Arabidopsis thaliana: one gene and its partners. The protein of the gene in region 4 interacts with the protein of the main gene of each other region in a pairwise test. Each region holds a gene or a part of one and is shown on either strand. Other genes may lie near its edges. The genes, in order: WRKY49, WRKY28, AGL17 and HDG2.

Region 1 (5,925 bases), on a different chromosome or scaffold from region 4:
TACAAGCTCTTGCGCAATCAAAACAATAACCAATTTTGCCTATTTTAAGTATTTGGTTCAGTGAACGTGGATCGAAAGGACTTGCTACTGGATTGAAAGGATATATTCTCTCTTCTTCACTAGATTCCTTTATAAGTATTGATGTACCTATCAAATTTTGAAAAGATATATCAAATTCTTAAACAATTTTTTGTTGTTGATTATAATACTGATATATTATCCTAATTAAATAAATTTAGACTTACATGAAGAAACAAAAATTAATAGAGTTAAAAATATAAAAATCAACTTCATTTCTTCATAGAAATTAACCAATACCACAAAAAAAAAATTACAAAAAAAATTTGTGAATCGTTTTGAATTCTTTTTTCTTTTGTTTTGTGCTGGAGTTATTAAAACAATATACAGTCATATTTATAGGCTCTATAGATACATATGTTATACAAAGAGTTAATTTTCAAATAAACGTTTTATTTTGTTATAAACGAAAGTTAAGTAACCTATGTATGTTTGTTTTTGTTTTTAAACTATAATTGTTTTGTTACATCATGAGGTTTTCAACCCACCCTACACATGGATTTATTCTATACATATTCATAAAATTCAAATTCAATTAATAGTAGTTATTAAAATGTGTTATTTATTGGTATAACTGATAACATACATCTAATAAGTACATACAATTAGCGGTTTTAAACTTTAAAATTTAAAATTACTATTGAGGCAAACATTTTATTTAAAATAAATATATAAGTCAAGGAACTAATAAATATATATAATATATAAATTGATTAGAAATGATTAATAATTTATATTATATATACCAACTCAAGATGCCTATCTTGCTTTTCTAACAAAACATAAATTACTTTTTGATTCCTTATTTATATTTATGATCTTATAGATGACCAAATCATTTTATTTCATACATGCCTCGAATCTATCCAAACTCTTTGTACATATGTATATCTTTTTTTTTTTTAATTGCGTAAATGATTTCTTAACCAAAAATTCCATAAATCCCCTTATTTGTTTTTCTTTTTTTGAACAAACACCTTCGACTTGTTATCTATAGAGACCATATATTTTTTAAAGTTATATAAACAAAATATTTTAAGATGTAAACTGATTAATTTATAAGATTTGGTATTAAGTTTTTTCAATATTTTTATAAGTTTAAAACTAAAAACATTTTTCAAAATTTGTAGAATTTTGTTCCGGGATCGCTATCAACTTAACGGAAGTGGCAATATCAAACATATTAAATATTTCTTGAAACTCTTTAGATGTATTTATTGTGTAGATGAGCAAAATAAATTTATTTAAACGTAAAAAGTTTAGAAGAAAAATAAAACTTTCTCCGGTTATGATAAAGAAGTTTAATTTTATATTTTTTTAATATTTTCAAATAATTTTTTATTTATCAAGAAGCTGTCAAAACACTGTCCCTGGTAGGAATATTTTTCATTGCCGGAGCTACCACATCTTCTAGAAGCCCTTGTTGCGGCCGACACTGATCAACCGGAAAAAACAATCCCTCTTCGAGATTTGCCGGTGTGTTTTCTTGGGCTTTATTGACTGGATGATTTTGGTTGGTGAGCTCACCTAATTGTGCTTCTTTGCTCTCTTCTTGGGTTTGAGATTTTTTGTTCATATCTTGAGCATTATGTTTATGTATTTTCGTTTTTTTATTGGGCCATTGACGTGTCTTATCGGGTAGGAAGAAAGGGTAAGTATAGTGGAAGTGGAAACCTTCGTAGGTAATGATATATGTGTTAGACTCATCAATTGATCTCTCCACTTGCTTCTTTGCATTGCATATTGGGTTTGTGCACTTGTAATAACTCCTAGACATATATCACAAATATAGTAACATTAGGCTTGTGACCGAAAACTAAGTATACTAAATAAAACTTCCATATGTTGATTTTAATACGTATCATTTTGGCCGAACCAAAGAAGTTCGATATGCATATACAATTCTAAAACGGAGAATGCATATATGTACCTTGGGTTAGGGCTATTTTTGATTGATTTTTGGCCATATTTTCTCCATTTGTATCCATCATCACACATTCCATTACTATTGTTCTTCACCTTTAAAGTGTACCTATCCACCTTGCTCAAAGTACTTCTTTCCAAAAGAGGAACTCTATACATAAATATAAAGGAACTCATGAGTACTTATTATTAAAGGGCTATACTAAACATAAGGCAAAGAGATGTATTCTTGTAATTAAAAAAATAAATATCAATTACTTACGTTGATTTAGAGATTTCTCGGACTGGGTGGGTCAGGGGTTCGACCAAGGCCAGAGCGTTTGCAATATCTTGGATTCGTGGACCGGAGTAAAGTGTTGATGTGACGAACTTGTTGGCAATGAAATCTTCATTTGGCATGAGCCCATGCATATGATGTTGGTCTTGAGGCAGAAAGAAAAGAGGTGGCTCATAAACAAAAGGATCTTCAACGGCGTTGTTTCCACACCTTCTTGCCCACTGATAACCTTCTTCTTCCATATGAGTATGGGGACAAGAAAACTTATGCGAGCTGGTGGTGAGGGGGAGAGGGGGAGAGGGAGAGAGGGATTCTTTATTCTTTTAACTTTTAAGAGTAACGTGTGTTGAATTTCTATTTACTTTTCTTTTTTTGAGGAGGGGATCTACACGAGTTATATATAATACCAAAATTAGTCATGTGGATTCAGTTTTGTTATACTTGAGTTATATGCCATATTATTGTTTTTAATAAATTATCTACATTAATTAATGTGTTGAATTTATATCAATTTATCTTTTATCTCTAAGTTTTGTTTTGCACAACATTATTATAATCGTTAATAAACATAAAAACACTATTATCATTGATTTTTACTTTTTGGAATGTCCACCATCTTTTCACACGTATCGATTTACACTAGTTTAGAGATAGTTTTGGAGGAATCCAAATAGTTTAGATATGAAATGTATATATGTATAAATGATTTTTTTTTTTGAGCTTCTAACTTGTTGCTTTAAAAAAACTTATTATATCCAGAACTATTATTTATACCTAATTAAAAAATTTACCTCATTAGATTTGGCATCGAAATTTTGGACGCGGCAAAATAAAGTTTTCTAACTTCAGAGAGTGAGTCACAGCTAGGATTCCGTGATTGAAAACTAGGAGCATGATGTATGTTCTACTCTTCAAGACCACATCGTCCACATGATAAGAATATCAAACAAATTATGGTCGTTCTTTTCCATAGACACGAGGAGAATGTCTGGGATTTGATAAGTTGGTTTATGCTTATACCTTACGTCAAGATGCATTATGATCGGCTAACTATCATGATCACAACAAAATGAGATAAATTCTCCAAATTGGACTGAATTTTTCTGATATACATCGATAATACTAACACAAAGCACTATTATACATGTGTGGGTTATACATAGTTTTTCTTAGAAATGTAAGGCAATAATGCATATTTCGTATGCACTGAACTTGCGACAGCCTATAACATTACCATTAAATTTAGGGTCATCTTATCATTATTGCTTTTTTTTTGTCTTTAGATAGGTTTCTAGTAATGTCCATATATTTCATGAATCAACCGTCGTGGATAACTTTGAAGCTTATATCTTAGGCCCCATAACATTGATAATATCGAGTTATTTTTGGTTGCTATGTGGCTTTGACTTTCGAACATAAAGACAAAAATATAGTGTGACCAGCTGGTGGACAAAAAACCGTTTGGGTTGACTTAGTGGGTTTAGGTTTTGTTGTCTTTTAGTCATTGAGGAATTGGTTTTGGATCTTAACCACCACGCTTGAAATAGATTTTTTTATTTTATTTTTGGTATCATTTAACAAAGTCAACCGTTTAGTGTTTTAATATTTTGTTGTCTCAGTCATAGTTAACGTTAACGTACGTACTATCTTGTTGTCTCAGTCATTCAAGAAGGGTTTTAAATTTATAGGGTAAATTAGCTAAATAACTTTACAGTTGTAAATATATACGTAAATAACCAATAACAGAAATTTATTGAAATATCGTTTTACTTTCTTTGCCAAATTTTGACCAAATTGTTTTGCGGATGAGAACCATGTTATTTTGTAAAAACATTTGCGGTAAACTGACATTTTTTTTTCGTGGTCTAGGGAAAATGTCTTCTTTCTACCTAATAATGAAACATGGATCTGCTATAAACCCGTATTTCCGAAAATCACATGTTAAGAATTATCATTTAAAAAAAAATTGATGATATCTCATGACGTAGAAAGTTTCCTGAACTACTATAATGTAATACGTAATATGTTATCGAAAAGCGATATTTAGCAATATTCCCTTGAGTCTTTGGCACATGATTTGGCAGAAAATCTTATCGGTCATATTACACAGGCTAAATGAACGAAACTCTGCCATTGATATAGGGAATAGGCCCATGATATTGATAAAATCAAGTTTCCTTTTGTTGCTATGTCGCTTTGACTTGCTACGTAAAGACAAAAGTATAATGTGACTAGCTGGTGGACAAAAAAAGGTTTGGGTTGACTTAGTGGGCTTTAGTGTTGTTGTTGTCTGTGTGATTTGATTGAGGAATTGGTTGTAATGGAAGTTTCTGCTCAAATCATTTAACAAAGTCAACCGTTTAGTTTTTGTTTTTTTTTTTAAATTTGCAGTTTGCATTTATAGTTAATGTTAACGGTATATATATGTAGAGAGTATCAGAATTTTTTGATCCATTCAAGAAGGGTTTTTAAGGATATGGAGTAATAATTTTACTATTTCCATTGTTAAAGTAAATACCCAAACTCTAATAATTTTTTTAAAAAAATGAATCACCAAACAAAAAATAATAATTAAAATGTCTTTTGTATTAACGTATAGGTATGTTATTTTCTTAAATTTCTTGTTGTCAGATAAAATAACATGATTAAAGACCATGCTATCTTTAGATTACACATGAAATTTTGAAAAAAATGAATTGTTGATGAAGAAAAGATTTTCAAATTTTATAAGTTTCACTAATTAAATAATTAACATATATGTTGATGATTCCATGAAGTTTTTCATCAAGTTTGATTTTCACCAATCTCGATTATTTATATTGGAGAGAACCTAGTAGTTCTGACGAACATGAAAACTATAATTGTCATCCATGAAATTTATGATTATTTTGAAAATTAAGAACCAAATTAAAAGTCTTTCAAGAAATCTATAGAAACCCCTTGACATTTATAATCACATTAGAAGTGAAAAATTGTCATGGAAGAAGGTCTAATTGAGTTCAGACAAAACAATTGAACAGGAAATCATCTAAGGAAGTAATATCTCGACATTAAGATGTCAAATTGATGGTTCATGGAAGTTTTATGATTCTACTTGTGCGTTTAAGTTGGATTTGTCAGCAAAGCGATGCACAAATAATGCTACTAGGATCAATATGTCACCGACAGAGTTCTTTGCCTCTTCACTTGGAGATGGAAACATTAATATGAGGTATGAATAACATCCTTACAAGAAGGATAGACCGTCAGGTGTTTGAAACAGATTATGCAGAGTTAGATGAGATTGGTTTGCTCCGTACGTATTTCTATAATTTCTAACTCTTTCGTATTACTCGACTTTAAAAGCCAACTGTTTAGCCAAGTGTTTCCAAATTCTTTTTTTTTGGATCTTTTTTCTTGTAACTATTTAGTACTTACCCTCGTGATTGGACACCTATTTAAGGAGAAGTTTTCTAATTAACATGTGGTTAGAGAAAAAAAATCAAGTTAAAATTATATTTTCGTATTAAATTTATACTGTATATCATTTTTAATAGTCCAAACGTTATGTATGTATGCATTGGACATAGATATTTGTTTTTTGACAAAGTAGTTAATGTAATGAAATAGACTTAATAACCCGAAATTATTACAAATTAAGAAAAACA
Region 2 (6,234 bases), on a different chromosome or scaffold from region 4:
ATTGTAGTTGTCTAGGGACTAGGGGGTTTGGCAATTACTTGATTCTCCCGGAAGATCTTTTATAACTTTGCTTCTCTTTCTAACATTCTGGCTTCCTTTTTTGTTTTTGTTAGGTGAATTTGATAACGACCCCGAAAACAAAACCAAAATCATTATCACCGAGATTTCTTTTTATAAGCAAAATAATATGAAAATACTAAAATAAATGTTCCATCTAATACAGATTTGTGTCAAATGGATTTCCCGTATGATTCAATATATGATTTGACTTGGTATATGATCATTTTAATAGTTATCTGTGTAGGCCAAATCATTCTTCAGTCAAAACATGTACATATTTAGTCAAAATCTAGAACATAGAAAGGATTTATGTATATATTTAATATGTTTTCTCAAAGTTGCTATAACATTTTTGCGAATATACCTTAGGTTTGTAAGAATTATATGTCAAACGTAATTTTATGACTATATTGAAAGAATGTTTTCCAAGAACACTCCAATGCAAATTTTACCAGTGATGATAATTGTGAATGTGTCATAACATTTAAAACCTTTAAGAAACGTCTTTAAACTAAAAAAAAAAAAACTACTGTATTTGAAGTGATTTAATACAAATTGAGTATGATAATTGATAATGAAAAGATTCGAGATTGGACATATCAGTTGAATTTCAAAATTTAAGAATAGTTTTCAAATAGGAAACTGAAGTTACATTGGAGCGCGCATGTTGAAATTTCAGAAATCCACATGTTCTATGATCTCATGACTCGTTCATCTCATGATTTCAAGTTTCAGCTAAATTCAATGACTTTGGTATATGACACAAATGCGCTCCCAAATAATAGTATTGCTTATTAATTCAGAAATTTGGTCCTCTTGTTCCTCATAAAATACTTATATATAGAGAATCCACTATTACTTTGTTGCCTATACTTTCATTTGCACAAACACATTTACAAGTTAATATATAAAGAGATCTTTTTCTAAGGTTCTTCTTCGCATCCTTCTCGTTCCTTCAAATTTTTTTTGTAATTCATTCACTCTTTATAAATCTGAGATTTGATATATAATTTTATTATTGTTTAGTATTTTCTTTTTATTTTTCGTTTTTTGAATTAAAACATTGTTTTCAGTTTTGATGGTAGGGGTAATATTATTGGTCCACAGTCTATGTTTCCATGTGTGTGTGGATAAGATAGAAAGCAGAAGCAGTCAAATCTTTTATTCGGGTCCATTCTCTTAGGACACAAGGTTAGATCTCAACTTGTTTTGTTTTTTCTTTACTTGTTCACACACATAGATATTCGTCGTCTACAACTTGAACCTTTTATATCAACACCCTTACATTAAATTTCCGATTCTAATTTCTTCATCACATATGAGCTTGTAACTTTTTTTTGTAATTTTTGATTATTAAGATATAAATCAGTAAGAAGTTGACCATTTGAACTTGTCAATTTAATACTTAAGTTTCCCAAAAGCATATGTATATATTATAATCAACATTTGGGAGATCAATCGTAGGCTCCTAGCTAGAGTTATGTCTTTTTCGCTTCTACATATGATAGTACAAATTACACAGCATAATATCATAATGTAAAAAACTAACCAAAAGAAGAAAATATAATTTCACAAAATGGAAGCGAAAATATGTATCCAACGGTAACACATTAAACATCATCAAATATATAAGCAAGCCCAACTGTCTCATTCTTTCATGAAAAAATATGTACATGCAAATAAGAGAGACAAAATAAGATCTTAAGTTACATATAAGTTTTTTTTTTCTCTACCTCTCTCTCTCAATATATATAATATATGTAGTTATAACAATGATCGATCAAGGCTCTTGCTTAAAGAAAATTGAAGGAAAAATCTCCCTCAAGAGCTCATACTCACCCCCTTGATGATACACTTGGTGAGAACTAGGGTTTGAATTCACACTACCATAACCACTTTGTCCATATCCATAATCCAAAGCCGCCGCCACAGAACCGCCGTTAGTATAAGCTGCCGTCCTAAACATATCATGTGCAAAGCTTCTTGGAGTCATGAGGTCTGCGGAGAACATAGCAGCCGCGGCAGAACTTCCTCGAAGATTAGTCGGAATCGGGTGGTTGTGTTGACCCTCGTAAGTTGTAATCACAACCGTTGGATCTTGGAACGATCTCTCCACTCGTTTCTTCACGTTGCACTTTTGTGTTGTACATCTATAGTAACTCCTATTTTCGTTTCCATTGGCTATTATCAGTTACACTATAATGGTCGCATTTTTCTAAACACAAATTTTCACAAGCCTAGCAATTTCAAAAAATAAAAAGGGAAAGTTTAGTTACCTTGGATAAGGGCTATTTTTTACAGCCTTTTGGCCGTATTTTCTCCATCTATAACCATCTTCAAGATGATCAACTTCACTTTTAGTCATAAACGAGACTCGTGGCTCTCTTTGTTTCTTCACCTCAGTCTTTTTCGTTTTCCCACTGAAAAATAATACACTATAAAATTAATACACATGCTAGACTAAATTCCTAAACGAAGAGATCAAATGATGTTCAATGTTTTGCATAAAAGTTCCTATAGAGTTATGACTTACACTTTTTTGGAAATTTGATCTTCTTCACCGACTAACTCTCGTTTCCTCCGGCTCTTACCGGAATCTTCACCGGGGTGATCAGCCTCACTAGAGGAAGAATTAGAAGGAGAAACCCTAGTTTCAGTCTCGTTGCATGCACCACCATTGATTACGTCATTAGTAACATCACGGTTCGGTTCTTGATCGATCGAAGAATTGAAAACCTCTGAGGAAGAGGGAGAAAGACCAAAAGTTTTCTGAAGTAGAGATTCATACGCTGCTGGAGAACTTTGGAGACAATCGGTGAAGGAATAAGTAGATGGATTAAAACCGTTTTGTGATGGGAGGTTTCCATAAGAAGATGGATTTGAAGTAGGCAGATTCATCATTTCGTGCAACGAAAACGATGAAGGGTATTGGTAGTTGTAGAGATCTCTGGTTTCATTAGACATGGTGAAGAACAATGAAGAGAGAGGTAAAAAAAGAGTAAAGAAGACAAAGAAGAAGAGATGAGATAAGCCTTTTAGGTTTGGGGATTAGGTTTTTAGGTTTTTTTCCTAAGAGGTCTAGATTGGTGCTTGGACTTTAATTTGGTCTTCGTCTCTCGTTCTCGTATTTATGCATTTTGAAACTCAAAAAAGGAAGAGAGAGAAGAATAATATGATTTTGGCTACTTGGTTTGGAAATAAGTTAATTAAGTAAAAGTGTATTGAGATATAATTCAATGGTACGTGTGTGAATCCAAAGTCGTGTTAATACTTTTATTTTTCTATCAACTTTGTTTTTTCTTGTTTCTTAACTAATCTCAATTTAAGTTGTGTAATTTTTTCCTATGCAAATTAATTTATATGTTAAAAGCTTTCATAATATTTCTTCCTCACGTTATTTTATCAGTATAATTTTGAATTCATATACAAAAAGGTTCAAATAAGTCTTTTTAATGTTTATCAGTCAAATGTACATAAAGTTAATTATAAATTAATAATGTGAACGATAAGCAACTTAATAGATAGGTATATATATATATATATATATTCAAGAAATAAGATATAGAAGTAGATGATAATTTTATTTGTGATATCATGTTATGCCTTTTGAATGACTTTTTGGTTTCGGGCAATAAGAACTTTACGTAAAGCTAAGTTGACAAAAATAGAGCTGCAAAACTGGCTTCTAGTGAGGAAACATACTTAAGCTTCTATATTTTTAATTCAGAATATGCTTACTTGCAAGTATTTCTATACCACTAAATACATTTCTTCGAGTCTTTGCATTGTATCTTCGTATAAATTTCCTAAAATTCTACTTTTATTTTTCCACATTTGATAAACATGCATAAATTTTGGGTTATTTTTGTGTGCTGCCTTTTTTATGGGGCCAAAAAGTAGGACATGAAAAGTTCTCACCTTCATTTTCTTCCCCACTCTATACGTGGCATATATAGTGGACGGGCTTGATAACACGCGCTACGACTAAACGGCGCGTGGAAGAAGACGACGTTATTGAAGGAGTCTTAGTCAGCGAAGACTATGTGTTACCGGAAACCGGAAACACTCAGTCACCGGCCGGTCGTTTGGTGTGAAGAATGCAGTAAGAGGCAGTCAAAGATTCAAAGGGAAAAAAGTTTACGAAAACAAAAGATTATATTTTGGGAGTATTAGGCTGCCACGTGGAAACACTTGCACCGGCATTTGACCGTCGCCGACACATGACCTGGCACGTGCTAGAGACTGTCTTCTCTTCTTCTTCTTCTTTTTCCCTCACTGTTTCACGAACCTTAATAATTATTCATAGGTAATTCCTAGTCAAGAAGCAATAATTTAGACCCTACATATTTTGGTTATAAAATATGAATATATGAATCTCTTGATATTCAAATTATTTTCATGTTTTTAGTGTAAGATTTGACCCAAAGAATCATACATTGCTAATAATTTGCTATAACATTCAAAGAAAATTAGTTACTATGGGACTTTAAGTGACGTAGCTATGTGGAGTGGATCGTTACTTATGCTGACGGATAAGTGAGATCATGATTACGCAATAACAATTTCTTTTTCACATTAGAACTTTCTGTTTGCAAGTAAAAGAGCATCTTAATTTATTAACTTATATTAAGGAAAAGATGGTCAAACCAAAAGTATCTATATTATGAAAATGTTAACATTATGATAATTACGATAAACCCTTTATATACAATTTTATTTGCGATAATTGTGGGGAATTAAAGTTGCATGTTATGAACCCTATGCTTGATTTATATAGCTAGTAATCGTTTTCATGAGTTTGTAGAAATTGATAGGAGCATATGATCAGGAAAAAAGGAGACATATAATGCCTAACCGACATGACAAATGCGAAGGGGACATACATCAACTTTAAATGTGGTCAAAGTGATATATTTACTACTATGAAAAATCACTAAAATATGGCAAGATAAAAACAAATACTAGCATCTTGGAAGAAATCGGTTTAATCACTAAAAATTTGATATGTCATGGTCTTTTGGTCACAATCCATTTTTTTGGTAGGTGAAGGATTCAACTCTTTTTTTTTTTTTGGTCACACCTAAGTTTTTGGATTACAAATTATCGTGAATTACGTATGATGATCTTAATGCGTTTAATAATCACTGCTATATTACCTAGCATATTACGGATAGCGCGAGAATACATACATATATATAGTCAGTGTCTCAGTGATACTCAGTATAAAATATTGGAATGAATCAAAATACTATGGCTTTGGTATATAAAAATTTGATCAATGAAAGAAGGGCATAATAATTTCCATGTTTTTAACGCTTTTTGGTCAAAACAAACTACGATGAAAAACGTTTTCGAGAAAATCAATACCAATCTAGTAATCTTTGGTCGAAATAATTAAGAAGACCGAATAATTCTCTTTGAACCAAAAGAGACATTAACCATTCACATTTGACCAAGAACATCAAGGCGTATACATACTTTAATTTGGGAAAGAGAAACAGCAACTCTTATCAGATTCCATATGAGTAATAGAATAATCTCTAAACCAAAAAAAATTCAATCTTCGAAGTCAAATATATATTCAATCTTCTATTGCATACTATAATAATGCCATAATGGTGGTATATGAATCTGTTTCTCGTACCTAACCACATTAATGCATACTAAGATATATATTAATACACATTTATAGTTTTAATTTAGGCAGAAACTAAACGCCGTAATTGGTGCCTAATCGTTTGCGTTGTCTTATCCATAAGCCCCACATTTAAATTACCCAAAGTTAGACCGTGGACCTCTATGTAATTTGTAACCTGTAAGTGAAAAAAAAACATTAGCTTACAATTACACGTATACATAACTGTATCTGTCTGCAGTTGAAATGTCTGACCTATTTTTGGGGATTTGTGCCTAACATATAAAGATATTATTATGAAATTTATTTCTACTTTCTAGTAAACACATAATTATTACATTATTTAAGTTTCAATTTAACGTAAAGAAGAATAAAAAGAAAGAGAGTGAAATTGTTGACTTTAGCTTTGGAATAGAATAGTTGGGGCAGGTTTGTTGTTAGGTTTGTCATGTGTGACATTTTTATCATTATTATTCATGTTAGTATATATAAAATATATATGAATAAAAAGGAATCTCTTGTATTTTCTGTTCTTTCAC
Region 3 (8,651 bases), on a different chromosome or scaffold from region 4:
GAGAGATATGTGAGATAAATTCTCGATTCTCCCAATCTGCTTGAACAGCGATTCCTACGTTTACTGCGTTCGTGATCCCTCCAGCTTTCGCCATTATTAAACCCCAAAACTCTCTCTTCCACAAACACAACAGTACTCACAGATTTCGATTTCAAATTCTGAAGCTTTTTAAATAATTCGCCCTTTTTCGATTCAATCCAACGGCAGAAATGATTAAGCAATCGATTAGAGAAGGAGGGTCACCTTCCTTTTTTGGTGTCTCAGAGAAAAAGTTTCTGAATTTTATCGTAGGTTGTTTTTCTTTTAGATGATGTGTGATTGATGAAGAAGAAGTTAAGATTAGAAGAAGAAACGGGTGTTTTATGAGATAAAGAGGAAATATAGGGGCTATTTTATAATTTAAGATATTTGATATTATGTGGTTTGGTTTAATATTTTGGTAGATTGCTTAGTTAGTGTTCAATCTTTTTCGTTCTATTCAAATGTCACTATCAATTAAAAATTGAGCAATTCTTGGTTCTTCGTGCATATATACTATTACAACCAATCTTTAATCTTTGAATTCAAGATACGTTTGTTTTAAAGTCAAGTGAATTATTCGGTATGCTCATTGGTTGTAACTTGTATAACTATTTATAGGTTGTATCTATAATATTTACAAAACAGAACACATATTTCATCATACTAGAATAATTTTAAGTTGTGATTATTTCTGATGAGGCATAACTCATTGTCTATACAACAAATCAAATTTTGAATGGTTGTTCAATTAGCAGTAAACCGGACTAATTATATCAATATTTTTGTAGGTTAAAAGTGGATTACAGTATGCAAAATATTGGACAATAGTATATAATAGAGTGAACTGTGTTTACAATCAAATTTAAGCGCTAAATCAAAATCACTAAATTAATTTATTCAAACCGAGAAACTTATAACCCTCTACTTTTGGACTAAAATTTTGAATCACATAAAATCCTATATTGTACGACCGGTGAAAATTTACATCCCAAGGAAATTAGGGTTTATTTTTCTTCTCCTAGCTCCTCTTAGTTTGATTTCACATCTGAGATTTTTTTTACTTCGTTTTTGTTATTTTAATACGACCAAAAACATAATCTTTTCAGAGATATGTTAAACAATGCAGTTTTCATATGTTGGTCATGGTCATGTAACTTCGTTAATTTCTAGGCTGACTTTTTGCATCGTTTTACCTGAAACGACAATATATAGTATACTCTTTTTGTTTTGCAAATTTTCTCTAAACTATAGAAGCAATCATCTCAAATGAATCTCCCTTTATTAAAAATCTCAATGACTAACAAAAACAAACACACACACACAAAAGTGAGCTCTGATTTTACTTTAGGTAAAGTATAGCTTATATACTAAACCAACCTATATCACACTCAATTTTTTTAGTTAAAATATATATTATATATGTAGTTCATGTATGTCTTAATTATGTACTTAAAACCAAATGTGAAAGCTAAAAAGAATATAATCGAGAAGCTGTTCCATTGCTTTCACTTGAGACCATATATAAGTATATATCGTACAAATCAAACCTTTGGTTTGCTCTCCGACATGATTACACTCACACTTACTCCTGCATGAAAACATATATATTGACATAGTCAAACGAGTCTTCATATATAATATGCACGTATATATATTTGAAAGGGTTTTGAGATAATCAAGAACGAACAATTTGTTATATATCTCTTATATGATCTTAGCTGTTTGAAGATGTCTTATAATGGGACTGCTCAGGCTGGCTTAGCTGCAGCCTAACCTGTGCATGGGATTCATAAACTGCATCTACTAGCTCATGATGTCCCAATCCATTTGTGTTCGACGTTCCATAAGCCTGTATGCAAGACCATTACCACAACACACTTTTGTAACTACGTACGATCTCAATAATTAATTATTGAGATTTGTCTAGTTTCAACTAGGAGATTAATTTGATTTAAAGGATTTGTTAGCTGCAACTTGAAGTAATGAAGTTTGTGTTTCTATTTTACCTTCTTGTATAGTTCGACATTTTCTTGATGAATCCTTTGTACTTTTCTCGACAATTCGAGGTTTTCATGATGAACAAGATTCCTCTGCAAAAGATAAAACACTTATAAGAACCTGAAAACTAGAAATGATAACATTGATTAATAATGCGTTTCAAACTTAAACACAACATCTTTAGTATCTTTTCTCAAAGAACAGATTTTTTTGTAAATTGCAAATGCAAACACAAACCGAAGAAGAAACTAAAAATATCGTTTGCATTTTACATCTGCAAATTATGTGTGTTTACAATGTAAACACAAACAACAACATCCGAGTCTGATTTTTAATAATCATGTGTTATATCATATAGTTTACCTTTCTGGTTAGCTCTTTAATTTCATTGGTCAAAATTTGTTCCTGCAAGGTTCGAAAAGAATAATTAGCTTAAACTTCAATGCTCTATTATCAATTTTTAAGCATCATGCGAACCAGCTAGAGGCCTAGAGCATTCATATATTACCCTTTTCATACGAATTCCACGTAAACTCATTTCAAGTTGACTCTCTATGTTTTGTAACTCCTTAACGCTCAAACCATTTAATTCCACTCCCGTTAGTTGCCTGATTTATCACAAAACATTACTGCAGTTAATATATGTAGAACGGACATGGCCAACTACAACCAATTTAATCCGCTCGACTAATTTCAGAAATGAACCAGTCCGACAGAACAATCATGGTCGAGTTTTCAACATATACATATTTTTCTTACCCTTAAACACATAAGTGATTGGTTGTACAATCCGGAGGAAAAAGTTTACATAGAAAATTTTAGAAATAAAATGCTAGAGGTCCGGAGTATAGTACTAGAATGTAGATTAAACGGAAAATACTTGAAAGCAAAAAATAACAAAATTTAATTCAAAGAAAATTAATCTCATCGAGTAGATTAAAGAGAACGGATGAATCTTCATGAGATTACACCATTGAAACTAGGTATGAACTAATTGGTTCCAAATCTATCATTCTTGAAATAATTTTTTTAAAGAAAAATGATAGAGTGTGGGGTTATTAAATCTGGTAGTGCAAAGTTAAAGTTAGTCTCAATTGTGCAAATTTTTTAGGATTAATCCGCTTTCTCTAATCGACTCGATGAAGTATATATACATTGTTTTAAACATATTAGGCGCATAACATCCATTTTGTTACCTTATTATGTTAAATGCACAAATTTTGGCTGAACAGTTTTAAACAAAAATAATTAGAAAGAGAAAAGTTTTAGTTAGAAATCATGTGAGAAAAGATCAACTCTTAGCAAAAAGGATACAATTAAGATCAGTACTTCTTACTTTGGAGTTAGAAACACATGATTACTCATAGTTTTGTAGTTTATGAACAAATACATACCGATAATTTTCTTGCAATGAGTGCAATTCTTGCCTTAGAGTTTCAGCCTCTCTCTGCCAAAACTACAACACGCAACACAATCTAACTCGATCAACTCTCAAACTCAAGCATAGTAATACAAACACATGATTAAGATATTAACTAATAATTGCCTTCCCCTCTTATGTGCTGCGTGATTTCTGTTATACGTACCTTAACTTCTGATGCAGGGTTCATTAGTTCTTGCTCCTCCATCTTAGCCGTATTGAATCGTTCAATAGTAGATTTCACACTGTTCATTTTAAGAATTTCAACTTATAAGCATTTCATAATGTTTGCTTCCTTGTGGCAAAATAAAATTATTTTCTAATGAAAAGAAAAACAAAATCCATCACTTCCTTGATTTTTTTTCACAATCTTTAAAATTATTAAGAAGGCTTTATATTTTTATCACATAAGAAAAATATGATATATATATATATATAGGTCAGGAAATGGATTCACGATGATTTATACATATATAAGATTCTTTTACACATGATAAATTTGATCTTCAAAAGTAAATATGAATACTTCACATTTGGAAAATCTGAAACGAAAAAAAAAAATTCTCATGTAATACTTCAAAATTTTGTCATAATAAATTGTGCAGTCATTTATGGTTTAAAATACATAGTCATCTTATCGTTCTTGGGTAGTTTCATATATACAAAATATTGAGATTTATATGCTTATATACAAGTAGATGGGTAATTTTTTTATCAGTTTACATATATCATCTCCAAATGTATGATATATCCTTAAAAATGCACAATTGATTGTAGTGATATCTTATACACTCCCATTTATCACTCTTTCAGTTTTCCAACGTTATACTTGTTTTTAGCTTTAATTACTATCTTCTCTACTCAAATGTTTCTAAATTTGGCAAAGACACACTGTCAGCCACATACACAATTTACAACCAATGACACACATGTCCACACACTGCCATGAGCCTACTTCAAATTAGTGTGTGTTTTCATCTTTACACTAGTCATCGTCTTTAATTAGTTTTCTTTTGCTTTGGCATCCTAAGCTCCTTTCAAACTAAGTTTCCTTTGAAAATTAAGTTTCCTTAGCTCATACATTTATCACCTTGTATATATACACAGAAATATAGAGAGCGTTATCGCCACAAGATGCAGAAAAATGTATACTACTACAAATGACTAAATGCACGCTACCAAACACAAATCATTGAATTAATCCAAACCCTCTTAGAGAAATAGCCTATATTCTTGTAGTGAACCCACACATGATATTATATAAGTACGTACATACCTATATATAGTTCCATTTATTATAGATATACAAATACATAGATAGATGTAGATCTATAGGTATGTAGATGTTAAAAGATCTAAGAATTGAATAAAGGAAGAGAGAAACCTGGAGCTGGCAAAGTCATAGAGCTTGTCAGTGTTGGAGAAAATGATGAGACAGACCTCGGCGTCGCAGAGAATAGCAAGTTCTTTAGCTTTCTTGATGAGACCCTTTCTTCTTTTGGAGAAAGTGACTTGTCTACTCGTGGAATCATCGATCTTCTGGATCACAATCTTCCCTCTCCCCATTAATTTAAACCCTATTTTGATCTTCCTTTAGATCTTGGTGCGTTCTAGGGTTTTTCTAGATCTTCGCAAGGCCAAAGAAAGATGAAGAAGAACGAATCAGGAGAAAGAGAATAGAGAGAGAGAAAAGGAAAAGAAAAAAATAAGAAGGAAGTAAGAGTCAACAATGTATTCGAGGAATAAATTAAGGATTTCGTTTTTATCTATTTGAGTCGTTGTGTTGGTCGATACAGCTTGAGGGCTAATTAGTAATCGTACCAAGTTAATAACCTAAAATATGTATACAGTATACACATAGTTCATAGAACACATGAGACAGAAGGAACAGTATTATAAAGTATTTACATAGAAAAAATAAACTTTCTGAATCAAAACTGAAACCGAAGAAATGTATACTACTACAAATAAACTTCCTTTATTTGATATCTCCATTTTACCCAAAAAAATTATGTAAAATATATAACGGGAAAAAAGCTTTGAAAACGGTAGATGGATTTTAGAGAATATTAAAAACTGATGATAGTTTTCTATAATAGAACAAAATACAAAATTGATTTTATTAACACGTGTCACACATAAATTAGGAGTTGAGGACATTTCCATTCTACCAATATATTAAGATCTATTGCAAGTTTCCATATAGGCGAACTTTTGCATATAAGAGAATGAGCAAAACTCGTTAATTAGAACTTAATTAATTTACCCTGTACTAGTAATTACTTGACTTTATGTACAGTATTATACATGAACTAAATGACCTAATTAAGTCTCATTACGCAGACAATATATGCTTAATAAAAATATAACTTGGTTATTTGACTTACCGTTTTCAATATGAGACTTACAACATCTGTAGACCAAATTTTTTTTAGTACCGTCGATTCCAAGTAAACCAAACTAGAAATGGATTTACGTTTGGTTTTAAAGTTTCAATTAATATGATAATGGCCATCGAATTCCAACTAATATCAAGTCGTCTATATTGTAACTATTTGGTTTGAACTATCAAACTATGTAAGTATATATATATATATAATATATTGTATATTATATGGTGGAATATGCAAATTTGTGAGAGTCATACACGTGAGAGTAGCAGAAACAGTTCCTGAGGATACCAATTAGGAGATGCTTTCGCACGCTCCTTTGTCCTCGGCTTAAATTTCGTACACCTGAGCAATTTCTTTATTTCAACCTATAATGTTCAGCCTTACAACTTAAATTTTGTTGAAAGGAGACTTTTCAAAAGAAATACGCATCAATAATATCTCGATTTTCGATGTTGGTGAGGATACTAAACTTACTTGGCCAATGGTAACTGATCCAGTGGAGAAGCTTTTCGGACCAAAAAATGCAAAACTTCTAAGGATACATGAGTTAAGATTTAAGAGTAAGGGAATTGTCAAAAAAAAAAAAAAGTACGATGAAATAAAATTAGGTTAAAAAATGATAGAATCAAGAAATCAAGTTTCTTGATTCATGTATATTTTTTTTTTTATGTATTCAGTTTTTGAGCTTTCGATCATAGGTTGGCCAAATATATAAAAACGATCAATACATGTGAAAATGTATAAATCTCTAAAGTACATATCAGATTTCAGATATATTTCACTTTTTTTTTCGATAAAAAATGTGGCCTTACATATAAACTAAGAAACACTAGTTTGATTCCAAAAGAAGGATTTATAATATTTAAGTTCTGAGGGATCTCGATCATAGTTTTACCAAAATATGATCATTTATTATTATTATAGTGCATGTGAAAGTTTATCACTTACAGATATTAAATTACTATTCTATGCTTCATAGTTTTGAATCTAGTGCTTTAAGTGAATTCGCTTCAGGTTCTTCCTAAATCCTAATTAGTAAAGTTTAGTATCACTAGATTCACTACTGTTAAAGGCTTAAAGCTATCGAAGAGTTTAGGTGGGACCTAAAATGACAACATGGTGACCACGTGGGTTTCTTTCGACCAATCAGATCTCGAGTCTCCAACACAAGATAATGTTTATCCTTAAAATGAAACTAAAAAGAAAAAGAAAAACAAAAACAAATCTACCTGCCAGATGTCAACCATCAGCCGTCAATGTCCCATTTTGATCCTTCTAAAAAAGGTTTTGGTTTTCTCATAAAAATAAAAAATTAATTTAATCTTTTTGGAAATATATATGAATTTGATCGGTAATTACAGTAATATTCAGTAATTAAACGAGTTGAAAAAGAAAATTCAATGAAAACGATACAACGAAAACAAAAGTAGTACTATAATATTTTTGGCCAAGTCTATATTTCGCAGGTTTGAATGGTATTTGAAAAAAAGAAGAAGAAGAGAAAAACTATTTTTTGCAACATTATCATACAAATGTTACGTTCGTCATTATATTATGCTACAAAACTATTGTCGGATTCACCAGTTTACTGAACTAAGATACATTCGAGATTAGTACTCTTTCACGTGAACTTCATACCATAAAGAGAACTCATTTTTATCATTATCCATTTGATGCTTTTAATTCCAAATACTCCATAAAATTACATTTATTTTCTGAGTTCTTACATAGTTTACTTAATTGAAGGTTGAAATTTGAGTCCTTGGAACTTGAACACTGGTTGTAATTGTACTAAATGTTCCAAGGTTGTTGGCCATGAGTTCAATATTTGAATTCATTAACAATTTCGATTTGCCATATTTTATACATTAACTCTTATATATGGATACAGAATTGCGTTAACCAATAAAGTTATTCGTACACAACATTTTCTAAATGTTTTTGGAACTAAAATAGTCCGCACTTATACCATTCCAATTATGGGTAAGTATGAACTATGCTAATATACGGCTTATGAATTATGGACCGCAACAAAGAAATCGTCCAAATGGAGACACCCTCTTCTTGGACTCACGGGCCGGCCAAAGGCCTACTATGAAACATACTGTTGTGATTAGGCATTACCAGATACTTTATATCTGTTTAGAAGAAGAAAAAGTCTAGATCTTTTTCAGATTATAGAAAAATCTTTTTTCAGATTAAATTTGATTCTTTGGAGATCAAAGAGACAAAATAACTTTTGTATGTAAATAATTAGTTTTTTTTTATTGCGGATCCACTCACTTTTCATTTTTGTAGTTTTGTTTTATTGCATATAGTATTAACCTGAATTTAATACCAAAAATGAAGATTATATCTATACATACTCCATCAAATTTTCAAGTTTTCATTTGTATAGGTTTAGCAAGTTTGTAAAACCTGATTATTCATGTTTACAATATTTACATGCGTAGAAAAAAGTTGTTTTTTGAAACCGACGCTCAAATTATTAATTAGCTTAATTAACAGAGAAACAACAACAAAAAATGTTAAATGAAATAGAGAATATGTCAGAAACAAGAGAACACATGTTATCATTTATGTGGAGAATCTACAAGAGTAGACAGAAACAAATGTGTAAAGGGCAAAAGGGACATAAGCAAGTCTTGTGAATCCTCAATAATGATATCTACATGACTAATCTTTGTCCTTTTTCTTCTTCACTTTTATAATTATATATCGTTAATAAATTTTCTAGAAGCACAATCTATTTTAATCCTTCACCGGAGTTAGTCGCAAGCGAATTTAGAAGAAACACAATACAAAATAACTAGAATAAT
Region 4 (10,153 bases):
AGTAAAACCAACAATTAAATAAACCGTGCGTGAATCTCAAGAATTCGTCTCTTCTTCTTCTTCTGTTTCATTTTTGTGGTCAACGACTCGGGAGAGAGGCAAAAAAAGATGGGAGCTTTGGGGAAGCTGATCAACATCTCTCTGTTTTTCTTCTTCGCACTGATGGCTATCAATGTACCGCTTCTCAACGGTCAAATACTATTTCCTGGAATCTACCCGAAGCTCCTCACCGATCTGAAAGACTGGTACAGCTCTGAGTTCAACGATTACCTCTTCATAGAGAAGCCTCTTTTCTTCGTTGGACTCGTCTGGCATGAGATCATATTCCTATTGCCTCTCTCCATTGTCAACATCTACGCCATTCTTACCAGCAAGTCGTGGTTTGGTACCACTTCTTTGTTGTATGGAGCTTCTTTCCTCACTTCCATGGTACATTTTCTTCTTTCTCTTCATTTTCATTTGGCTCAGTCTATGTATATTTGTTTTTGATGTTGTTGATCTGTAAATGTTACAACTTTCTTGATTTGGAAACGAAAATTCTTTTGGAGTTCTATATTTTAGTATATGTGATTGCTCTGCTTCTCTGAGAAGGCTAGATTGTACCGCTTTGTTTGTAAGTTTCTTTCACGTTTTGTTTTTGTGTGTTTTGTGAATCTCTAGGCTGCTATACTTGGAGACATGATAGGTTCAGAGAAGGTGACTAACAAATTGCTATTGGCGTATTTGCCTTTCGTGGGTCTTGCAATTCTGGCAATGCTTCGTGGTCTGGTGACTTGTTCGACCAAAAGATCAACTGTTTTAGCCAGGAGAAAGCTTGCTTGAGGATAAACCAGGGTAATTTCTCATTTGAAAACTTTACTTTATCACATGGTATGAATGTTCAATGTGAAAACATTATCCCTTCTAGAAATTTTGTTCAAGTATTAACTCAGCAACAATTCCTTGGTTGAACTTAACCTAAACAGAACCAAAAGGTAAATTTACTTGGCAATGGCCCTTTTGAGAGACACTCATTGTCTGGTAAAAAAAAGTGTGAGCTTTCCCCTAGACAAACTCACATAAGCTTACAAAAGTACCAAAATACTTGTATAAGATATTTATACAAAAGAAAGACAAACTCCAAATTCCTGATGATGGTCCATCTAACCACAAGAAGGAAAGAAAAACAGTAACTGTAACACAAAAAGAAATCCGAAAGCATTCTTTCTAACCTAGTTTTTGTTTTTGTCTAATTCAGTATGTGACAGGGGAAGTCAAATTCCCGAACCTCGTAAAACCATCTACATATTCACTTTCAAGTAAAAAGTTTTTCACTGCTTAGTTTCATCAAATAAGCAGACCAAAACTTAACACTAACAAACACTCAATGGTATTCTCTTGTGAGGTTCGATCTTGACTCCTCCGCTTTTCTCAAACTGAAATCTCTCTCTTTTTTCCATCATCACCATTTTGTTATTTCCTGCAGAAAGAAGAAGAAAAATATGATTACATCATATAATGGCGTAAAAGCGAGAAGAATATATTTAGTGAAAGTAGTACCTAATGGATGGTTTTCAAGCAGTCTCACAAGACATTGAAGCTTTGATTCTCTCAACAGTGCAAGCTATTAGATTGTTGACAGTTGCAACAGAGCCAAGAGACAGCTTAGCCGTAGGAACTGAGTCAACCAGAATCTGAAAAGCAACAGTCAAGAGCGACCCTCCATCTCCTCCAGGGGCTCCACTATTGGCATTACCATCAGGAAGAATAGCAAAACCTGATGGAAGCAGAGCCACATAGTCTGGATCACCTCCATTAAGCACTATGTTCATAGCTACAATATCGACTGGAGCATAGATCACAAAGGAAGCTGTAGGATCAGTGCAGCTCTCTTGTAGGATCAGCATATTGCTCTGGCTAGAGTTTGCACTCTGTGACATAAAGAAAGATTGAAAACTCTTAGCTAGGATCAGATGATTATAACAATAGTTCAAAACCCGGTGTAACTCACATTTACCCGAAGAAGAGAAACACAGTTTCCGGTATCCCTCCCGTTAGCAATATGTGCCATTTCTTGCACAACTCCTCCATTAGACAGAATATCCCACTGCAAAATCTCACAAAAACATCAAAACTCTGTCCAAAACAGAACAAGAGAGCGTAGTAACTAAAATAGTTACCTCATTTCTTGAATTCTCGTCTCTGAGGAAGTCAAAGACTCGCTTTGGAGGAACAGGGATCCAAAAAGAAGTGGCTGCACTAAGAACAATACCAGGAGGCCTTCCTGGATCATCCACACTCTTCCTAGTCATCACTCTAACATCTTCAGCTCCTGTACCGGACAATGTAGTCCACGTGTGAGCGGTTGAAGCACTCACTCCTGCACAAAAGCTTATAACCATCCGCTCTGCCAATTTCAGCATACTCCTCCTCCCTTCTTGGTTGGTTATCACTGCATATTCATTAATATAGAACTGTGATTCTGACTCTGACTCTGATTATGAAAACTGTTTATGAAACAAACAGTAGGTTATACCGCCAACTTCTCCAGAGGAAATGTTTGTAGCCATGACACTAGCTAACCGCTCGCATTGGCGGTCAAGAATGGCTACCCAGCGTTTAGCACCAAAGGCATGACCAGTACTAACCATGTGTTTGTATAAGTTATGAACTCCTCTGTCATCAACTTCCACATGCTCCACCCAAGTCACCTGTTACATTAATTCTCTCTACTTAAGTAAACATTTTGTATAACCTAATGTTTTTATTATATTACCTTAGAATATCCATTTGGCAATTCTTGAATCAAACATCCTGAAGCTCGCCGCCTGCATCTAGCCGGGGGATTTGGTTGGAGACTATCCAACGAAATATCGACAACCGCCCACGAACCATCTCCTTGTTGTTTACAGTAACGTGCGAAATAGGTTTCACGTGTTGGGACTAATGGAGATGGAACTTGAAACTCTGCACTCATCTGCAAGCAAAACAGAGTGGTTATTTCAGTTTGAAATTTAATTTTTACAGAATAAAAGCAAAAAAAATTACCACTTGAAGAGCTCCATTATAGTTTCCTGCAACTCCTGTCGATAAAACCGCTAATGTCATTGCTCTAGAAACCATCCCCGCGAAAATCGTCGACCATTGATTCTGCAACATCATATCAATGTTGTTGAAACTAAACAGAGAAGATTGCTTTTAAGTAAAATGAAAATGTTAATTACCACATCCATGAGAATCTCAACGATGTTAACATGATTCATGATCACAACCGCGCTTTCTCGCGAAGCTTCTGATCTATATCCAGCCGGTCTAGGTCCGATCCCTCTAGGAAAGGTCCTTGCATATTCTTCTTCGTCTAAAACCAAACTCTTCCACAGAGGCTCGTCTACTTGAACCATCCTCATGAGCTCTTCCATTGCAGCCACGGATAAGTCGATGATGACAGGTTTGTCAGATTCTGTTGGTGCAGTGATGGACTTAAGGAGATCGTTTGGATTGTTTCCATAAGCTTCTCCTCCAATATTTCCCATGGCGAGTTCTAGTGGACGTGGAGGAAGAGGAGGAGGAGACATAAGTGGATAGTTTGAGACTGGCTTGCCTACGTATTTAGCTGCGATTGCGGATATACGGTCGATCTAAAACAGACAAATAAGAAAGATTATTGATCCTTGTGGTTTTCAAAGTTTGGTCACAAGAAGAAACGTTGAGTAATGTTGTTATTATGTACTACTACTCCTTACAGTTCCAAAAATATCGTTTTAGTATCTCAATTTAATATCATAATTTTTTCTATTCTTCAATGAAAAAAAAATGTTTAAATTCTCTAATTTCAATACAAATCTATAAAAGTTTTTATTTTATGAAGAAAGAAATGATTATTGTGAAAGCGATATAACATTAGTGGTATAAAAACAAATTCTAATTTTTTATTTTATCTTCTTGACAACATTTAAGTGTAAAACTCTTAACATTATTTGAACATTTAAAATAGTTGATTCTCATACCTCTTCCCTTAATCGAGCATTTTCGAGACGGAGTTGGTGTTCGTCGAATGACATTTCTCCGATAGCTGTTGGACCACCACAATTAGGACACGAAGCATTTGCAAGAGCCTCTCGATATCTTAGGTTGTCGTTTCGAAGCTTTTCGTTCTCCGCCCGAAGATGTGAGTTCTCATGCCGCTCGTGATGATTCTGCGCAAATAAAACTTATATTCCGGTTATCTCTAAAGTTTTATACAAGTGATTTATTTCTAATTTGGGTAAAACGAAGGAACAAAGGATTTTACTTAAAAAGAGGAAAAGTGTATGTTTCAAATAAAACACTCGTGTACACGTTATGTGTTTCACCGTATTTGCATAACGTAAGCATATGTGTCCAAAACGTTTCAATCTATAGATTATATATGGCTCTAACTAAGATAATAAATAGGCAATGTTGTTACAACCAAACAATTTTCTATAGCTTGATCCGCCAAATATATAGTTCTGCCAAAGGAACAACTTTTCAATTGAAAAAAAAAATAAGTAAGAAATTTTAAGTCAAAGTGTCTCAACTAGATCTAAAATCTGCCAAAAGTCAATGAATTCATTCTGAAAGAAAACACCAGCCACCCAAAATGTTCTTAAGTATAAAGATAAGCCCTTCAATGTATATATACAAGACTTAATATGAATGAAATAACAATTTAATTAACAAGTATATATATTTTCTCTAATATATATAGATCCATTAACTAATGTATATATGTTCATAATATAAAAAGTATACCTTCATTTGGGTACGTTTGTTTTGGAACCAGAATTTGACCTGAAGAGGTTCCAAATTCAATTCACGGCTTAGCTGTTTCCTTTGCTTGTCATCTGGGTGAGGACACTCTTTGAAGAACCTATTTAACAACCAAAACAAAAGAATTGTCAAAAAACACACAAGAAAATTGAAGTAAGTGAGTAAGTTAAACACATACGCTTCCATCTCCTGGATCTGAAGTTGGGTGTGTCGATGATATCGTTTCTTCTTGTTAGGATGAAGAGGATCTTGGTCGTTTCCTGATCCTCCTTCTTGATTCTCACTTCCCGATTTAGTATTCGGACTGTCGAATTCATCGTCCCGAAGAAATCCTTCATTATTGTTGTCTTCATGGTTGTAGTTGTGGTTATTGCTGTCTGCGTTGTTCATAGCCGCAAGCAGCATATTTGGCTCGAACATCTTTTCTTATACTCCGGAAACTGAAAGCAAACCCTAGAAGCAAAAAAAAGTAGAGAGTTTTGTCAAAATTTAGGGTTTGAAGAAGAAGGGAAATTTCTTCGAGGCTGGAAAAATATGGCAATACTTTTGTCCACGTCAACAACTTTACAACCTTCTTTTTGTATGAACAACAATAACTTAAATCTTTCTTCGGAGTCGTTTATCTTTCTTCTTGAAGATCATACAAAATGATATAAGCAAACAGAAGAATTGGAGATGATTGTAGGAAACAAAGGACCCACTAATTGAAAGCAAGAAAAAAGAGCCTTGCATAAAAAAGACATCACAATCACAAATTAATTTGTTATTGAATAACCAACCCAAAAATAATGAATTTTCACATACTCAAAATTATTCGAAACTACCGATTTTTTACCCTTTTAAAAGAAAAGAAAAAAACTAATCAGCAGACTGAAATAAAAACTATGATTGATTCAAGAGTCATATCATATGTAGTGTAGATGGAAATCAATTGTTGTCCAAAGAAAAAACTTTAAAATTTCTACACTATAATAGCTTTGATGGATGGTGATTTAATTTAAAATTTCGAGGTATTTTGATCAGTTTTGATTTAGATGGGATAGGAAAGAGAAGACGAAAAGAGAAATGTTGGACTCATTTGTTCAAAGCAAATAAAATGGGAAAAAGTAGGTACAAATAAATTCCCAACTCTATCCTGTTTATTAAAAAAACAATATTTTCGTGAGAACAAAACAAAATTTAATTAAATATAATCATTAGTAGATTTTCAAAAAATAAAAACTCTTCAGGAAAAAGTGTAAACTACTATTTGGCGATTAAGAAAGAAAAAAAAATTGAAATGAAAAAAATAGTATTATATCTGTGCACCTGTGCGACGGACCAACATATAGTTATTATACAACTTACAACCAACGTGACATAAGGCCTGGGTGATGTATTAATTTTTTCCAGCTATTTCTTATCATCATCATCGTATTTAAACGTTTTTATTACACACATTAATATGTAAATGTATACTACTACTATAAAGTATATACACGTGTTTATATATAAAACCAAACGTATAATGAAAATAAGGATATACGAAGAGAATACAAACCTTTCTGTTTTTTTTGGTAGGCAAGGGAATACTAACCTTTAATCTTTCCTCTTTATTGTTTTCTTGAAGGTTTCATCTCTGACTATGCAGAAATTGATAAGATTATTTAAAGAAGAATACAATAAATCAGAAAGTCAGAAAGCAAATTAGGAGAGGAATGAAAGATATTAGAGGCAAGAAATCAATTAATTAATGCTAAAGAAGGCAAAATTTAAGACAAAATATAGATGACTAACTGAAAATTCAACATACAGGATATATTAAATTATAAAAAAAAAACATCATGAAAGTGAGAGTTTTATAAAGATGCTAAGAAAACTGAAGTGTAATGGATCCAATGATACTTTAAACAAATAAATTTGTGTACATGAATTAATGGATAAAATAAAGAAAACAGCAGAAATGATGAGGTTTTCGAGACATACACTGGGATATAGGAAGAAGCGACGAAACCCTAGAGGGAGAGAGAGAGAAGAGTAGAGCGGTGTCTGGTCTGAGATTTGTTTCTCGGAAAACCGCTGATGGTTTTGTGAAGCGCGGTTTTGTTGGCGAGCAAAAGGTTTGAAAGGTAGGTGCAAATCTTGGAGGAAGAGAGATGAGAGAGTAATGACAGAGAGAATTGAGAGGGTGCAATGAAATTAAATGGTGCGAGAGGGACACTTAATTATCCTACACGCTTATATATATATAGAGAGAGAGAGATATGTTACAATTTATTTTATTTATGTTACAAAATTATGTGTTGTTTTTCATCTTATATACAATGTCAACCTAAAATAATTTTATTTTTTATTTATTTAAAATATTATAATGTGGTGAGGAATGACGGCTAACGGTCTATGAGCCTATGAGACTTACATTTATCTATTAGATATGTAGTTATTTTTAAAAAATCATTAGCATTATTCATAACTTATGCATATGCAATAAATCACCACTTAACAAAATTAACTATATTAAAAAAAGATTTAACTATATTGAAATTTGCTTTAATACAGTTCTCCATTTACAGAAAAAGTTAGACAATAGTCCCCATTTGTCAAGGATACAATTTTAAAAGTAATTTTCTGAAATTTTAATACTCTTAGATTATTTATAATATGGAAAAAAATTATATAGTTTTTTAACTAAAATTCAATGACTTGTTATAGTTAATATTTATCTTTATGAGATATAAATTTAATTTTTACTTTCAAAAAATATGACTATTATATTTTTAACTATTTTATTTTATTATTATTTCATATCTTTGTTATAAATTTAATTGTAAAGAAGGAAAATTTCATGATTCTTCTTCCACATGGCATTTTCTTAAATATTATAGAAGTTTAGGTTGTATTATTGTTAGTCAGACAGAAGTTGATTGAGTGATGTATTTATTTTATTTCATTTAAAAGAAGAAAATCTAAAAATCATCACCTTAATTTTGAGTTTTGTTTACGAAACAATTGTTTTTTCAATTTAAGGAAGTCAATGAAATATCACTTTTTTCACAGTAAGACTTCATTTTACATGCCTAGAAATATTAATTACTTTGTGGCCCAAGCATTTATAACTATAACGTGCAATTAAGCTATTTAAAATACGGATCACCCATTAAAAAGGTGATAATTTGTAAAAGCCATGCATTCATCTTAATTTATCACGCGAATATATAGAGAAATATACTGCGTATTTAATTACCTAGTTCTTAAGCTTTGTTTTTTTTTTTAAAGTCCTTATAGCTATAGCTTTAACACTCAAGTTTTTCTTTTCAGTAAGTTTATACTTTACCTAGATTCTTTAAAATAACTATATATAAAAAAACAATAACCCAACTTATTTCTGATTTTTACTGTATATATGTAGGTACAGATATATAGATGGAGTTATACGTACGTACGTATGCGATAGGGTGGCGAATAGTTTCGACGCATTAAATGTGTACACAGAGGCTGCATGGGCTTTAGGCCATTTACTGCTCTCATGCCTCTCTTGCACTTTAACCTCCTCTTCCTTCTTCGTACTCTCCTACTAAAAAAAACTAGTAATTCAACGCCTAACATTTTAGTTTTTTCTTTTTTTTTTTTTTTTTTTTTTAGTTTTTTCTTTTTTCCTGCTACATCACTAAAAGTTAATTATTTCAAAAAAGAATTGCTACAATACTATTCACATTTTAAGTTTGTTTCATCCTCGTAAGTCTCAAATATTTATTTTTAGTTTATTTCTTTTTTTTGTCAAACTTTTAGTTTATTTCAATTAGTGTTTTTTCTGCCAATATGATCAAATCTGAGATTCAAAATGGAATTCTTCTGTTGAAAAAATGGATGCTTTTGTAATAAATTCAAGATCGTAGTTTTTTTTTGTTTCTGGGCTTCGTATATGGGCCATAAGACGGAAGTAAACTTTTGGCCCATTATATATTTTATCCCCAACGAGAATGGCAAGGCCGAAAGTCTCATTCTCCGAGAGTGGAAAGTTAGTTAAGGAAAATGATTGATTTTTTTGTTTTGTTTTGCATTAGTCTATAGGACGACTTGTTTCACAAGAAACTAGCCGTATATTGTAATATCCAATCACTGAATTGAGCAACTTGGATAGTTTACATTGAGAATGCAGGAACGTGGATTCCACAAACTATAACAGTTTATTATAGTTTTTAACTTTTGAGAGCTAAGGACTAATAAAAAAATTCCCCAAACTACATCTTCTCCAAAGTCAATAGCTTTTCAAAGCGCAAAAGATGATTTGAAGCTTTCTTAATCGTTGCATGATTTCGATTTCTTCTAATTGTGGAAATTTAATATATTTAATTGCAGCACCAGCAGAGATCAAGAAGATAGTGGAGGCCATGCAATGTCCTCCTCGAGCTCCTCTTGTATTTCAACCCTCATTAAGAAACAGAGGAAAAATGCAAATGGGATTATCTAAATCTTGTTTGGCATTTCTCCATGGACTATTTCAAAGCCGCTGGGTGATCTATAAAAGGCCTGAGAATGTCTCCTTCATCTTCATCTCCAAAGCTCGTTCTCACCTTACTTGGCAAACACTCAACGAAGAAAGGAGAGAGAGACGGTAATGGCGATCAAGAACATTCTCGCCCTTGTGGTTCTTCTTAGCGTGGTTGGAGTTTCTGTCGCCATTCCACAGTTGCTTGACCTCGACTACTACCGGTCTAAGTGTCCCAAGGCAGAGGAAATTGTTCGTGGTGTCACAGTACAATATGTTTCTCGCCAGAAAACCCTTGCCGCTAAACTTCTAAGGATGCATTTCCATGATTGTTTCGTCAGAGTAAGCTTGGTTCACTTGTTCGAGACTGTTAACCAAGGGATATGAAAAAACTAGCTAGTCCTAACACTCTTTTGTAATGATTCATGTAGGGATGTGATGGTTCCGTTCTTCTGAAATCTGCAAAGAATGATGCGGAAAGAGACGCTGTCCCCAACCTGACCCTGAAAGGTTATGAAGTGGTGGATGCGGCCAAGACAGCGCTGGAGAGGAAGTGTCCTAATCTCATTTCTTGCGCTGATGTTCTTGCCTTGGTCGCCAGAGATGCCGTGGCAGTGGTAACATTCCATTTTCGCAATGGACTAGTGATTTTGTCATTCCAAAACTGAAGACTATAGTATGTATATAACTTATTAATTGTCTTTGAACAGATCGGGGGACCATGGTGGCCGGTTCCATTGGGCCGCAGGGATGGACGCATCTCGAAATTGAACGATGCATTGCTAAATTTACCATCTCCTTTCGCCGACATAAAGACGCTGAAGAAGAACTTTGCCAACAAGGGTCTTAACGCTAAAGACCTTGTGGTTCTCTCAGGTATGTCTGCAGCTGGCACCTTATGATGTGCAATTCTCA

Evidence for each region.
Region 1: the proteins of HDG2 (region 4) and WRKY49 interact in a two-hybrid assay, tested with the Arabidopsis thaliana proteins (one large-scale study listed by BioGRID).
Region 2: the proteins of HDG2 (region 4) and WRKY28 interact in a two-hybrid assay, tested with the Arabidopsis thaliana proteins (one large-scale study listed by BioGRID).
Region 3: the proteins of HDG2 (region 4) and AGL17 interact in a two-hybrid assay, tested with the Arabidopsis thaliana proteins (one large-scale study listed by BioGRID).

What each region holds. Positions count from the first base shown.
Region 1 is NC_003076.8:17,370,564-17,376,488, forward strand, and holds WRKY49 (WRKY DNA-binding protein 49), read right to left. Parts: upstream 2,659-5,925; 5' UTR 2,521-2,658; coding exon 2,264-2,520; intron 2,153-2,263; coding exon 2,009-2,152; intron 1,848-2,008; coding exon 1,424-1,847; 3' UTR 1,245-1,423; downstream 1-1,244. Other genes in the region: LURE1.1 (Putative membrane lipoprotein), read right to left, coding at 1-147, 246-294. UniProt on the Arabidopsis thaliana protein: Transcription factor. Interacts specifically with the W box (5'-(T)TGAC[CT]-3'), a frequently occurring elicitor-responsive cis-acting element.
Region 2 is NC_003075.7:10,058,298-10,064,531, reverse strand, and holds WRKY28 (WRKY DNA-binding protein 28), read right to left. Parts: upstream 3,319-6,234; 5' UTR 3,025-3,318; coding exon 2,594-3,024; intron 2,481-2,593; coding exon 2,337-2,480; intron 2,223-2,336; coding exon 1,841-2,222; 3' UTR 1,639-1,840; downstream 1-1,638. UniProt on the Arabidopsis thaliana protein: Transcription factor. Interacts specifically with the W box (5'-(T)TGAC[CT]-3'), a frequently occurring elicitor-responsive cis-acting element.
Region 3 is NC_003071.7:9,614,726-9,623,376, reverse strand, and holds AGL17 (AGAMOUS-like 17), read right to left. Parts: upstream 5,171-8,651; 5' UTR 5,006-5,170; coding exon 4,824-5,005; intron 3,685-4,823; coding exon 3,606-3,684; intron 3,476-3,605; coding exon 3,414-3,475; intron 2,628-3,413; coding exon 2,528-2,627; intron 2,425-2,527; coding exon 2,383-2,424; intron 2,112-2,382; coding exon 2,028-2,111; intron 1,871-2,027; coding exon 1,736-1,870; 3' UTR 1,709-1,735; exon of another isoform or gene 1,610-1,708; 3' UTR 1,214-1,609; downstream 1-1,213. Other genes in the region: BRK1 (BRICK1), read right to left, coding at 1-94. UniProt on the Arabidopsis thaliana protein: Probable transcription factor.
Region 4 is NC_003070.9:1,511,835-1,521,987, forward strand, and holds HDG2 (homeodomain GLABROUS 2), read right to left. Parts: upstream 7,067-10,153; 5' UTR 6,736-7,066; intron 6,393-6,735; 5' UTR 6,347-6,392; exon of another isoform or gene 5,224-6,346; 5' UTR 5,191-5,223; coding exon 4,949-5,190; intron 4,871-4,948; coding exon 4,753-4,870; intron 4,176-4,752; coding exon 3,987-4,175; intron 3,618-3,986; coding exon 3,204-3,617; intron 3,130-3,203; coding exon 3,028-3,129; intron 2,957-3,027; coding exon 2,756-2,956; intron 2,729-2,755; exon of another isoform or gene 2,691-2,728; coding exon 2,516-2,690; exon of another isoform or gene 2,432-2,515; coding exon 2,160-2,431; exon of another isoform or gene 2,087-2,159; coding exon 1,991-2,086; coding exon of another isoform or gene 1,970-1,990; exon of another isoform or gene 1,911-1,969; coding exon 1,554-1,910; 3' UTR 1,540-1,553; exon of another isoform or gene 1,466-1,539; intron 1,460-1,465; 3' UTR 1,067-1,459; downstream 1-1,066. Other genes in the region: AT1G05220 (Transmembrane protein 97, Putative), read left to right, coding at 109-429, 661-822; AT1G05240 (Peroxidase superfamily protein), read left to right, coding at 9,368-9,580, 9,670-9,855, 9,949-10,114. UniProt on the Arabidopsis thaliana protein: Probable transcription factor. Involved, together with PDF2, in the regulation of flower organs development by promoting the expression of APETALA 3 (AP3) in the epidermis and internal cell layers of developing flowers.